Cricetulus griseus: one gene and its partners. The protein of the gene in region 2 interacts with the protein of the main gene of each other region in a pairwise test. Links are inferred from orthologs where the notes say so. Each region holds a gene or a part of one and is shown on either strand. Other genes may lie near its edges. The genes, in order: Hnrnpm, Hnrnpf and Hnrnpul1.

What was found.
Region 1: the proteins of Hnrnpf (region 2) and Hnrnpm interact in binary tests that used the Homo sapiens proteins (3 or more experiments, as listed by UniProt). The two-hybrid records come from large-scale screens. The link is inferred for Cricetulus griseus from reciprocal best matches to the Homo sapiens genes HNRNPF and HNRNPM.
Region 3: the proteins of Hnrnpf (region 2) and Hnrnpul1 interact in a two-hybrid assay, tested with the Homo sapiens proteins (3 studies listed by BioGRID and IntAct). The link is inferred for Cricetulus griseus from reciprocal best matches to the Homo sapiens genes HNRNPF and HNRNPUL1.

The regions. Positions count from the first base shown.
Region 1 is NC_048598.1:95,317,895-95,321,209, reverse strand, and holds the end of Hnrnpm (heterogeneous nuclear ribonucleoprotein M), read right to left. Parts: intron 3,264-3,315; coding exon 3,212-3,263; intron 1,073-3,211; coding exon of another isoform or gene 1,059-1,072; exon of another isoform or gene 987-1,058; coding exon 823-986; 3' UTR 564-822; downstream 1-563. UniProt on the Homo sapiens protein: Pre-mRNA binding protein in vivo, binds avidly to poly(G) and poly(U) RNA homopolymers in vitro. Involved in splicing.
Region 2 is NC_048601.1:27,021,468-27,025,833, forward strand, and holds the start of Hnrnpf (heterogeneous nuclear ribonucleoprotein F), read right to left. Parts: upstream 2,827-4,366; 5' UTR 2,678-2,826; intron 2,445-2,677; exon of another isoform or gene 2,306-2,444; intron 1,709-2,305; exon of another isoform or gene 1,576-1,708; intron 1-1,575.
Region 3 is NC_048602.1:9,365,311-9,369,561, reverse strand, and holds the start of Hnrnpul1 (heterogeneous nuclear ribonucleoprotein U-like protein 1), read right to left. Parts: upstream 2,857-4,251; 5' UTR 2,721-2,856; coding exon 2,354-2,720; intron 1-2,353.

The DNA of each region.
Region 1 (3,315 bases), on a different chromosome or scaffold from region 2:
ACACACAATAGAACACAGGCACATGCTAGGTACCAAAGTAAAGAGATAGGAAAATCAGTTGCTTGCTCAATAGGAAAGGAGCTACTAAGGATGCACCCACACACACCCTGGATGATCAGGAACTGCATCCCAAAACTCCTTGTAGGCTGCAAGGATTTGTATTGCCAAGTGAGTCTATGACAGCCCTTCATTGGTAGGGTTCCTGCCCAACAGGACATCAGTATGAAGCATGTCCCATACAGTGATATTCTCAGGGGGCTTAAACAAAGAAAAGCCACATGAAGTGAGCTTTGCTCAGTGTCTGGGACTCACAGAATATAGCCACAGGATGACTTTCAGGATTGCTATTAGCACTCTTGGGAAAAATGAAGATTTAGGATCTGTACTATAGTGTTTCTACTATAACCAGGGTCTGCTCTCCAAACACTGGGGCTCACAGACAAGCAACAATAGGGTGAGATCCCTGGAGGTCACAGCTCTGAGGAAGGAAGAATTACAAGCTTCCCCAGCTCCACAGACCTCAGATGGCCACCTCTACAACATACGCAAAAAAAGCAAGCAACTTTCAGCAACTGGTATTTATTATCAAAGTCATATTCGATGTCAACAAGATGCCACAACTACAAAAAAAATTGCGCACATTGCAATCTCAATGCAAACAATCAAATGGAACCCCACTCATTAAAAAATTAATTCAAATTACCCCAAAAAGCAACTGAATTTTTTAAACATCTTTATACATCCAGCCAACAAATTAAAATGGTTAACAAGAAAAAATACAAATTCAGAGGTCTGGTATTGATGTTTAAAAAAGGCAACTGCTTAAGCATTTCTATCGATTCGAACATCAATCTCTCGGCCACTCAGCTTCATGCCATTCATCATCCGGCAGGCTCTCTCAGCCACCTCTGGAGACTCAAATTTAACCACACCGCACCCCTTGGACTTTCCGTTCTCCATCTTGATGTCGGCGTACAGCACGTGGCCTGGCACAGGGAGGGAAGAAGAGACCACACGCATCAGGCAAACCCAGAGCTCAGCCTCAGCCTGGGCTCCACTCAGTCCAGATCACCTGTTGGATTTCGGTGACAGAGTCAAAAAGGAGAGAGGCCCTTGCATATGAAGTGAATGCTCAGAACACCACGTATGGCGCCAGCAACTACAGCCCCCCCCCACTATATTGCCATTGTTCTCCAAGCAGGACAACAGCCTGACCTGCTGTCAAGAACCTGCCAAGCAGCTTCAAGAGTTTGCCTTTATGCTCCAGCAAGTGACACAGAGAGGGGACTATGTGGAGTCAACTTTAGATTAGAATTCTAGAGGCTTGATTGTTGAATACCACAATCTGGTCACAAGGTCACTGCCAATATGATACTTCTATACTGCCCCAATGTAAGCCAGGTATACTTAGTGAGCAGCTTACATATATCCCATTCATAGACCTATTAAGCACCCACGTTATTAAGTACCCAGGTATGTGTCAAGTACAAAAGAAATGGGTCTATAATAGAGTGAGAGCCAAAGACACATTAGTGGTGTCAGGTCCCATAATTCTGTGCTACTAATGGCTTGGGGAGAGATGACACTCCAGTGGCTTCTGGTGATAAAATTCTGAAAGATATTAAGTAGCAATTCATCAGAATAAACATTCCTGCCAGAGCAGGACGCAATGGTACACATCTGCAACCCAGCACTTGGGAGGCTAAAGCAAGATTTCAAGTTTTAGGCCAGACTGGAGCTACATGGCAAGACCCAGGCTCAAAAGAAGGGAATGACAAGACAGAACCAAAGGAGGGACAACAGACAGGAGAATGGAAAGATGGCTCACCTGTAATCCCAGCCCTTGGGAGGTGAAGATAGGAAATCAAGAGTTCAGTGTCACTGAGGATATAGCTCAGTGGATACAGTGCTTGCCCAGCATACACAAAACCCTGGGTTTGAGCCCAGCACTTTACAAACCAGGCATGGTAGCACACCTCTGTAATCCCAGCATTCAGGAGTTAGAAAAAGGACTAAAAGTTCAAGGTTATTTTCAGTTATATAATAGTGAGTTTAAGGGCCAGTCTGAGACCCCATCTCAAAAAAAAAGAAAAAAAGAAAAAAAGAAAAAAGAAAATCCAACAAACAAACCACCACCCACAACAAAAAAATCCCTAAGAGTTCAAGATAATCCTTGGCTATACAATGAATGTGCAGCAAAATGGAGCTAGCTGGATCTTATCTCAAAAAGAAAAAGAGAAGGGAAAGGGGAAGGTAATTTGGCAGGAAAGCAGAGAATGTCACAGGTTCAAGGGCAGTAGGGAGATGGAACCAAGTTTCCAGAAGCTTTTGAGTTTGCATTTTCACATAGGTGGGGAGAGTGGCATGTTCTAATATGAGTTTTTGGAATATCTAGTTACAATAGTGACTGGTGTGAAATTTGCAATGGAGAGAATCAAAGAACCAGGCAAGAAGATGGGTTTTCACTCTACAGCTTGCCTCAAAGAACCAGGGGAAAGCACCAAAAACACTAAAATGTGAGCCATTTCTGAATGACGAAACAGGTGTTTTGATCGAGCAGCCACCCAGATTTTGGTGAAATGGTAGCAGGTGACAACTGCATCTCGGTCACCAAGGAAGCTTTCCAGAAAGGCTGCCTAGTGTGCCTATGAATCCACAATCAGTGATTTTCACCCCACTATGTGTGCCCAGACCTACAACTGCTGAGCATATGAGTGCTCTGGGAAACCAAACCAGGTATGGGCTTCATGTGGAAAAGCAACTTGTCTCATTTATTTCTTTTGTTTTTGCCTCTTATTTAGGAAGGTGGCTTTGCTAACTCTTATGTAAAGAGACGACAACATTGTCTCCTCTCAGAAACACTTCAGAAAACAGGAACGGTGGCATTTGCCTGGCGTTCCAAAACATGGAAGGTAGCAAAAGAATCATGAACTCAAATCCAGCTTAGGTTATAACAGAGACAGAGAGACTGTCTCAAAAAACTAAAAAAGAACAGCAAGGATGAAAGCAGCACATAGCACGACACATACCTGGACACCCAACACCTGCCTGAGTACCTGCAGAGGCAGAACAATGGCAAGGCCCATCGGTGCTCTAGAGCCCATGGACAGTGGTTAAGGCTAGGAAAGAAGCTTCACTGCTCTAACTCAACAGCGTCATCAACAAGCCACGACACAGGAATGTACACAGAGAGCCTTTCTCAGACACTTACCACATTCGTTGAATTTGTCCTTTAGCATCTTCCATGTAAAATCAAATGGGAGCTGAGGAAAAAAGAGGAAGACTGATCTGTGATGCAACCAAGTCTCAATGTAA
Region 2 (4,366 bases):
CAAAAGACATACCACCAAAAAAATAAAAACTTTCTACTTCTATGGAGATGGTGGTACATGGGAAGCAGAGGCCAGTCTGGTCTCCAGATTGAGAGCCAGGATAGCCGCAAAAGCTACACAGAGAAACCCTGTTTCGAAATACCAAAAAAAAAAAAAACCCAAACAAACAAAAAACTATGTATACAACACAATAAACTAAGTATCCCTCATTACCAATCTCTCAACTTTCTCTGGAAATATAAACCTTCCACTTTAAAACGAAAATATTGTCAAAAATTAGCACCAAAACTACTACTTCACTGACCTATTTTTGTCTACCCAAAAAGCCTGAAATATTTCTATTTTTACTAAAAATTCATAAGCATTAACTCTTAAAAAGTACTTGGAGATCGTTAACTGTGTAAAGACTTATTGCGGGAGCCGGGTGTTGGTGGCGCACGCCTTTAATCCCACCACTCGGGAGGCAGGTGGATCTCTGTGAGTTCAAGATCAGCAGCCTGGTCTACAAGAGTTAGTTCCAGGACAGCTTCCAAAAGCCACAGAGAAACCCTGTCTTGAAAAACAAAAACAAAAAAAAATAGAAAAGAAGTTTTTTATTGCCGGGAGGGACCTGAGCTCAAAAATCTCTGAACACAATATGGAAGGCCTGGCCCCATATGTCCCTGACCTCTACTCGGCAGCACAAAGGAAACTTCTCTCTAAAATAGTAACTATTACAAGACATCTTATGATTTGATCAATTAAATGATTTTTAATTATTTCAAAACTCTCCGGTATCGACCGGCATGGTGACGCACTTCTTTAATCCCAACACTCCAGGCAAAACATCTCTGTGAGTTCGAGGTCAGCCTGGTCTACAAGTGAGCTCCAGGATAGCCAGGACTACACAGGAGCCGTCTGGAAAAAACAGCAAAATAAAACAAAACCCACACTTGATAGGAACTCGAGCTGCCAAGCACATGACCTCAGTTCGATCCCCGAGACCCACACTCCTGGAAGAGCCATCTCTCAAGGTGTCGTCTTACATCTAACCCCCTCCCCCACTCACACACAAATCCGCAAACAAAAAGAAAAGCTATAAAGAAGCCCTCTCGGTTCTTCGAAGTTCCGGCAGTCAAAGACACACTGGAGCCTAATCCCGCACAGCCGCATGGCGGCCTCCCACGCTGCGCGCTCGCCCAACCACTCTGGAGCCCCAGTCACAGGCCACAGGTCTCCAGCACTTGTGGCAGGTAGGAGAGGCCCATTCGTTTGTGCCCCGGGACTCCGGGGCAGGAAAAGTCGCGTCGGGCGCTCAAAGTTATGGAGCACGTGGGGCTGCCTCGCGGGTACGCGCAGGGCGGCTGGGGCCAGCGTCCGGCCCTGTCGGGAACGCTCCCGAGAGCGCGCGCGCGCCAGGGAGGGAAGGAAGGCCGGAAAGACCCACACCAAGTTTCACCGGAACCGTAAAGATCCACAAACACATCCAAAGAAAGTTCACGGAACAGCAGCAAACACCCGACCGACCTCCCTAGGTCAAGATCCCTCCTCCTCCTCCACCACCGCCAGCACCACCCGCAAACGCCAGCACGCTACCTCCGAAGGGCCCGGATCCACACAGACTGGGGAATGAGAGACTCCCGGGTCGCCACGAGGAGGAAGAGGCGGTCGGCTCGCTCGGGGCAGGAGTGGGAGGAGGGCGGAGTCGTCGTCCCTCCGCCCAGTCTTGTGAAACTCTGGCCGCCTCCAACCACGTGAGCGGCCGCTTTCCTTTTTCAAAACTGCAACCAGCGCCCGCCCGGGCCTACCCGCGGAGGGCAGAGCGTGTTCCGCCGCGGGGGGTAAACGCTCCGCCCTGCCCCCCCCCAAACAACCCGCGTCGGCCGAGCCGCGTGCGAGCAGCGCCGGCGGGCATGGCCCTCGGCGGAAGCCGCTCTCCAGGGCGTGGGCCTCGGATGCGGGGGGGGGGGGGGCGAGCCCCACACCTCGGTCCCCGCGGCCGGACCTCAGCCTACCAGAGTGACTCCAGACTTCGGATCCCGCGTCCGTCCCCTTCCCCCCGACCCCCTCCGCCAGGCCGCAAACCTCAGCCACGCGGCCGGCCCGGTCCGAAGTGCTCCCAACTTGGACCGCCAGACATACTCTCAACTTCGGCTCTGGACCCCGACCCCACGCCTCGCCTCCGCCGTCCCGAGCCCCGACGGCCAGCCTCGCACCGCCACGGGTGTGCGGCTCCCCCCTCGGACCGGTCCTCTCCTATGGCCGAGCCCCACGGCCCGACGCCCCAAGGGCCCGGCCGCCAGCCCACCCGGTTGGCGACCCTCACCTCGGGCTCCTTGTCTCCACGCTCCCTCTCACATCCGGAACCTCGCCGGCCCTCAGAGCACCTAGAGGAGGGTGGAACCCCGGGGACTTGGCAGTTGTAGCTGAGGCAGTTGAGGCTTGTTTACTGTCACCATGGAAACCCCCAGAAGCGCGCTCGCGGTGGGGCCTCCGCGGAGCGACTCAGCCGCGCGGGCCGGCCTGGTCCTCAACTCCCGCCCGTCGAGCGCCCGCCGCGCTTCCGGGAGCCCTCCTGGCCCCTGGCCCGTTCCCCGCTCGACCCACGCCCCGAGCACCCGGAAACAGTAGCCCGGGAAGCCCACTTTCCCTTCCCACAGCCGGCGTGACCGCGGGCCGGCCTTCCCCCGAACCCCACCTTCAGGAAGACGAGGCGCAGTCCTCCTTCCACGACGAAGCCGGAAGGATACAAGACCGTGGCGGGGCGGAGCCTCAGGCAGCGGACATCCGGGCACCGGGCCGCCACGGCGCCATTCTGACGAGCCCAAGTCCGAGCTCAGGATTGGCCAGCCAGGCGAGGGGCGGGGCCGGGGAATGTGGGCCGGCCTCTGAATGCAGGAAAGGACAGCGACGGCGCATGCGCACACCTCGGGGGAGCCAAGCGGCGGAGGGGGAGGAGGGGGAGGGGGGAGGGAAGGGAGGGGGCGGGCGAAGAGGGGAGCAAGGTGGAGGGTGGTCCATGGAGAGCCTCACGACTTGTGGGCTGTGGGAGGACGCCGGGTGGTGCACGCGCGTTTCCGCACCCGGAAACTTGAGCCCCAAAGGTTCAATAACCGCGCGCGAGCGGAAAACTAGCGTCGAGTCTTACGTAAAAAGAAAGAGCGCCTAAGGGCGTCTCCGAGGCTCCGTCTTGAGGGATTTGTACCAAGTTGCTCCAAGCCCCCAGCGTCAGGGTTTTGAGTTTCAGACTGTCAGCACTTCCCGGAGTGGAGGGGTTAGATTTTTTCGATGTATATATAATTTGCGAGGCTTCTTCGTGAGATGTCAAGATACAGGCTGAGTTTAAGATTACCAACACCACAGAGCCTCCTAGGCGGGCGTGGAGACGCGCGCTGGTGATCTCTGCAGGGAGCGGGTCCAGGCTGCATGGTTGCCAGCCGCTGTCTAAACAATGGAGAAATTCACAAAGTAGTCTCCGGTTATAAGCGGACGATAGCGATGAAGGAAAAGTTCATAAAAACAACACACCAGGCTGACTCAAAAAAAAAAAAATAACAGGAGAAAACTAACTTTCAGAGGAGAAACTGTCTCCAAGAATAAAAAGAGAGGCCAAATGATAGAAAACAAATCCTACAAAAGTTAAATACGTATTCATGTGTATATTGAACATTAAGTCCAGTTACTCAGCACAAGTTTTACCAAACTGTGCACCACTTTGTACTGGGGAGGGAGAGCGTTAGGATCTCTCTCTCTCTCTCTCTCTCTCTCTCTCTCTCTCTCTCTCTCTTTATTGTTGTTTTTGTTTTGTTTTTTGAGGCAGGATTTCTCTGTGTAGCTTTGAAGCCTGTCATGGAACCCGCTCTGTAGACCAGGCTGGCCTTGCCTCTCTGCCCCTCTACCCCTCTACCCCTCTGCCCCTCTGCCTCTGCTGGGATTAAAGGTTTAAAGGAGTGCTCGACCACCACCCAGTGAGTTAAGATTCTTAGTGTGCTCAGTGTGGAGGAGTCAGAATGTATCACCTTGCTGGTTTGGAAGTCAGAGGTCAATTCTGGGGCATCTATCTCTCCAATTATATGGGTGAGGTCCTGGATTAAACTCGGGTTGGCAGGCTAATGCAGCAAGTGCCTTTAACTGCTAAGACATCGCACACTGACTTTCGGGGTTTGTTATTGATTTTTAAAGTTTATACTATTGGTTGAGGCAGGTGCAAGTGCCTTCCAACCTTACGGAGGCCAGAGGGCAACTTTTCCTGTGTTGGTTTTTTTATTTACCTTTATGTGAGCTCCAGGGATCGAATTTAGGTTATCAGACTTTCACAGCCAGAGATTTCATTTGCTAACTCTCTCTCCTGTCCAAGCTGTCCTCCAAATCCTAAGCAATCCTACTA
Region 3 (4,251 bases), on a different chromosome or scaffold from region 2:
AATTTTGCTGTAGATGTGTTGGGGGTGGGGGGCATGACATGACAGGGGACGCAGTATCTCCTTAATTGGAACACAAGGTTTCTTCAAACCATTATGCTTCCTCCAGAGCCTTAGGACAGTATTCTCCCCAGAAAGCCCGTGTTCTTTCCCCCAACAGTGGCAGGCTGGCCTAGGGAAGCTATGATGCTGGGGTCCTTTCCCACTCTCTACAACATCCCCCCAACAACAGGCAACCCTGGTGTGGGGAACCCTCTCACATACCATCTCATGACAACTCAGGGAGGACTCTTACCAGTCCCATATATAGGGAGACCCAGGCTCAGAGGGGAAATGATTTGCTTAACTCCAAAAGTCTGCCTGAGTCTACAGTTTGTGCTCTGAAGCATCAACTCATTTTCCCAAGACCCTTCTGGCAGAAGCAAGGTTAGGGCTGCACACTGGCTGCTCCTTCATAAGCCATTCTTGCAGGGTTCCCCAGCTCTGGGCACATTCACAAGCCACTCCCCCCTTCTTCCCAGGGAGCTGACCACTTGCCACACATGTGTTAGCCCTAGACCACTCTTCTTTCCCCAGGGTGTCTCCTCCATAGGATCCCACCTCTCAGGAACAAGTGAGTACTAGTCTCTCTCAAGGGCCCATTTTCTCTCTCAGTGTTTCATCCCAAGTCCCGCAGTGTCTTCTTCTCAGAGAAATACTCCAAGCCTCGGATGCCAAGGTGTTTCGTTCCAGGTTCCCTCTCATACCAGGGTCTCCTTTACTCAAGGGACTGCAGTTCCCCTCCAATCCTATCTTACAGACACACTTCCTGGTTGATCAAACTCCCCCAGGCCCCTTGAGCACACAAGTAACTATTTCTGGGGACTCAGGAGCCCTCTCTCGGAAAGGAATACTCCCTGAGGCCTCCAGCCAAATCAACAGGTTTCCTTTCTTCTCCAAATCCTCCACGCGTCCCTCCCCCACATCTGCTAGCTGCAGACTCCCTGTGGGACACAAAGGTCCTCTGCCCACCACACAGTTCATCCACTTGCTACCAACTTATTCTCCCCAACTCCAGCTATCCGAGTTTCGAAAACTATCCATAGCTAACAATACAAGGCCATTCAGCAGGAGCCACCCGGTGTTTCTTAGGAGCCTTCCCAATTCTAGACTAGTCCCTAGCTCTTTTGTCCATTAAAAACATCCTGTTTTTCCTCGCCACTGTTTATAGACACCAACGTTCTCGTGCCTCTTCTAGAAAGCCACAAGCTAAGATCTCCCAGTACCAAATATTCCTAGCTGCCCTGTCCTCAAGGTTGGCCCTGTAACTGAAATGCAGGACTTGGGGGGGAAGGGAGGGGACGCCAAACCCAATCTTCCGCTGGTTTTCCATTATCTCCCCCTAAAAGCTCACCTGCCAAACATCGGAGCGCCCAGCCCACCTCCCTCGGCCTCGGCCACCCGCAGCTCCACGGCACCAACTCACCCACAGCACCAAGCACACCTCCCGGATCCCATCCGGCCGCAAGATCGGAGATCCTCTAGCCTCAAATACTCTCCCTCAGCCCTGCACCGTTGACCATTCTTCACCCCCCGCCCTCCCTGATACCTGGAAATCCGGCTTTTTGAGACCCAGCCCAAACGGGGTGTGTGTGCGTGGAGGGGGGAACACGACCCGCACGGCCACCCAAGCTGTCAGCTCAAAGCCCCCAGCGAGCATCACCATTTTTCCAAAAGCCCTCCCGGAGACACCCCTTTCCCTGAAAGCTCCTTCCGACTCTCCAGCTCCAAAAGGGAAAGAGGAAAAGAAAAAGAAAGAGAAACAGTTTCCGGCCTCCCAGTTCTAGGATGTGCATTCCTCCCCACCCACCCTCCCTCTCGCTAGTCTTCTTCTTAAAAACACTCGGGAGGCAGAGGCAGGCGGATCTCTGGGAGTTCGAGGCCAGCCTGGTCTACAAGAGAGCGAGTTCCAGGGCAGCCTCCAAAGCCACACAGAGAGAAACCCTCGTCTCGGAAAAACCAAAATAAATAAATAAATAACTAAATCGGACAAAATAAAGAAACCCCGCCGGCTCTACCCCCCCTCACCCCACGCCACCCCGCCCAGGCCCAGGGTTGTTCCCTTGCACCCAAGGCCCTCCCTGCAGGATCCGCCCTGGGGCTGCTCGCCCTGGGGCTGGCTCGCCCTGGGGCTGGCGGCCCTGTCCACCGATGCTCGGCAGCCGCAGCGGCAGGTGGCGGGGGGTCCCGGGCTCCCCCGCCAGGGACCGTGTCCGGGGTCCCCCGGGGTGTCGATGGAGAGGAGTGGACTTCCCGCGTCCCCCGGTTCTCCCCCCCTCCCCCCGGTCCCCCGGTGTCCCCCCCAGGCCCCGCGCACTCTCACAGTGTCCGTCCGGCCCCGGGTAGCCGCCGGGCTCCGGGTGCGGGTGCGGGTGCGGCTGCAGCCCGGGCGGCGGTGGCGGCGCGGTCCCCTCCAGCTCCGAGCCCCCCTCGGTGTCGACCTCGTCGTCGTGGCGGCGCTCGGGTAACCCCGGCTCGCCGTCGCCCCCGTGGCGGCCGCCGCCGTCGCCGTCGCCGTCGTCGCCGTCGCCGCCGTCAGCGTCGAGCTCCCGCTCTTCGGGCTCCTCGGCCTCCAACGCCGCCAGCAGGCGCTCGGCAAGCTCGGCCTTGAGGCCGCGAGTGTCCAGGCCGCGGCGCTGCAGCTCCTCGCGAAGTTCGTTCACCTTCAGACGGCGCACATCCATGGCCCGGGCCCCCGGGGCGGCCCCCGAGCCCGGCCCGGCCTCCCGGGGCTCTGTCCCCCCTCAAACCTCGCCCGTCAGGAGGCGAAGGGGGAACGGGGGGGGCCCCTCCAATGGCGGCGGCGGCTCAAAATGGCCGCCGCCGCCGCCTCCTCCCCCCCTGGCCCCGGAGCCCGACGATGTAACGCGGGCGTCGATTGGGCAGCGTGCGGGGCAACGGGCGCGGGCCCCGGAGGCTCCGCCAATCACAGCGCGGCTCTCACCGCGACGGCACTCGAGAGGGTTCAGGGCGCTCTGCCCAAGAGGAAGCGTTAGCCTACGTCGGAGTCGCGGCCCCAAGCGGAGGGCGGGAAAAGGCAAGGGGCGGGGCCGGCGCTGATTGGACGGCGCCCCGCGCCCCCCCCCGCCCCGCGACCCCCGCGCGCGCGCGCGCGCAGCGGGTACGGTCAAATGGTGGCAGATAAGGGAGTAACGATCCCGAGCAATCAGCAACGGGGTCTCAGCGTCGCCTCCCCGCCCCGTCCCTCCCGGCAGCCTCTCCCGCTCTCGGACTCTCCGTAAAGCGCGTGCTGACTGGTCCGCAGCTCCCGCCCCTCGCGCGGGGCGGGGGGGCGGGGGAAAAAGATCGCCGCGGCCAATCAAACGCGGCGACCGAGGGGCCCCGCCCACCCTCGTCTTTCCTGTGGCCCTTTCGGAAGCCCGGAAGGAGACCCACTCGCGGAGGGCCCGCCCCTTGCCGTTAGGGCGGTTTCAAAACAAGCTGTCCACCAATCGCAGTTACGGTTACATTTCCGCTCCCCTCTCCGCCCGCCCGCCCCGCAGCCGTAGCTTGAGCGCTTTGAGGAAAAGCTAACGGGATTGGCCCTGCTGGAAGAGGCTTGCCTTGCAAACTTGGCCGTCTTGCGGGGATGTTTGAGAGGCGGGATCGGGCTTAAGGGGAGCTGCTTCTGCTCGCCTGCTACTCAAGCCCAGTTGCTGGCTCGCTTGCTTTTTGTTTTTTTTTTTTTTAACGAGGAACAAACAAACAAACAAACAGTTGGCCCTGGGGAGCGCTGAAGGGTTGCAAGCGGGGGTTGGGCTAAACCCACGGGGGAGAAGCTGCTTGGCAAACGGCGCACCGCTCTAGAGTTTGCTCGCTCGCCCGCCCAGGCCGCCCTGCACGCGACCGCCGCAGCCGCAGAAAGAAGTCCGGGGCTCTCCATCTCGAGCCCTGCAGCTTGCCTGCCTATGCCAACCATCGCCAACACGAGGGATCCGTAACTGTGCCTCGCGTTAACCCTTAGCACGCCCGTCGCCCCTAGCTCGGGAGGCGAAAAAAAAAAAAAAAGATTTAGTGCAATAACACCATAAAAAAGATTTAGTGCAATACCACCATAAAAAAATAGTGCAATACCACCATAAAAAAGATTTAGTGCAATACCACCATAAAAAAAAGATTTAGTGCAATACCACCATAAAAAAATTTAGTGCAATACCACCATAAAAAAAAAAAAGATTTAGTGCAATACCACCATCCGGTTTTGCACAATGCAAA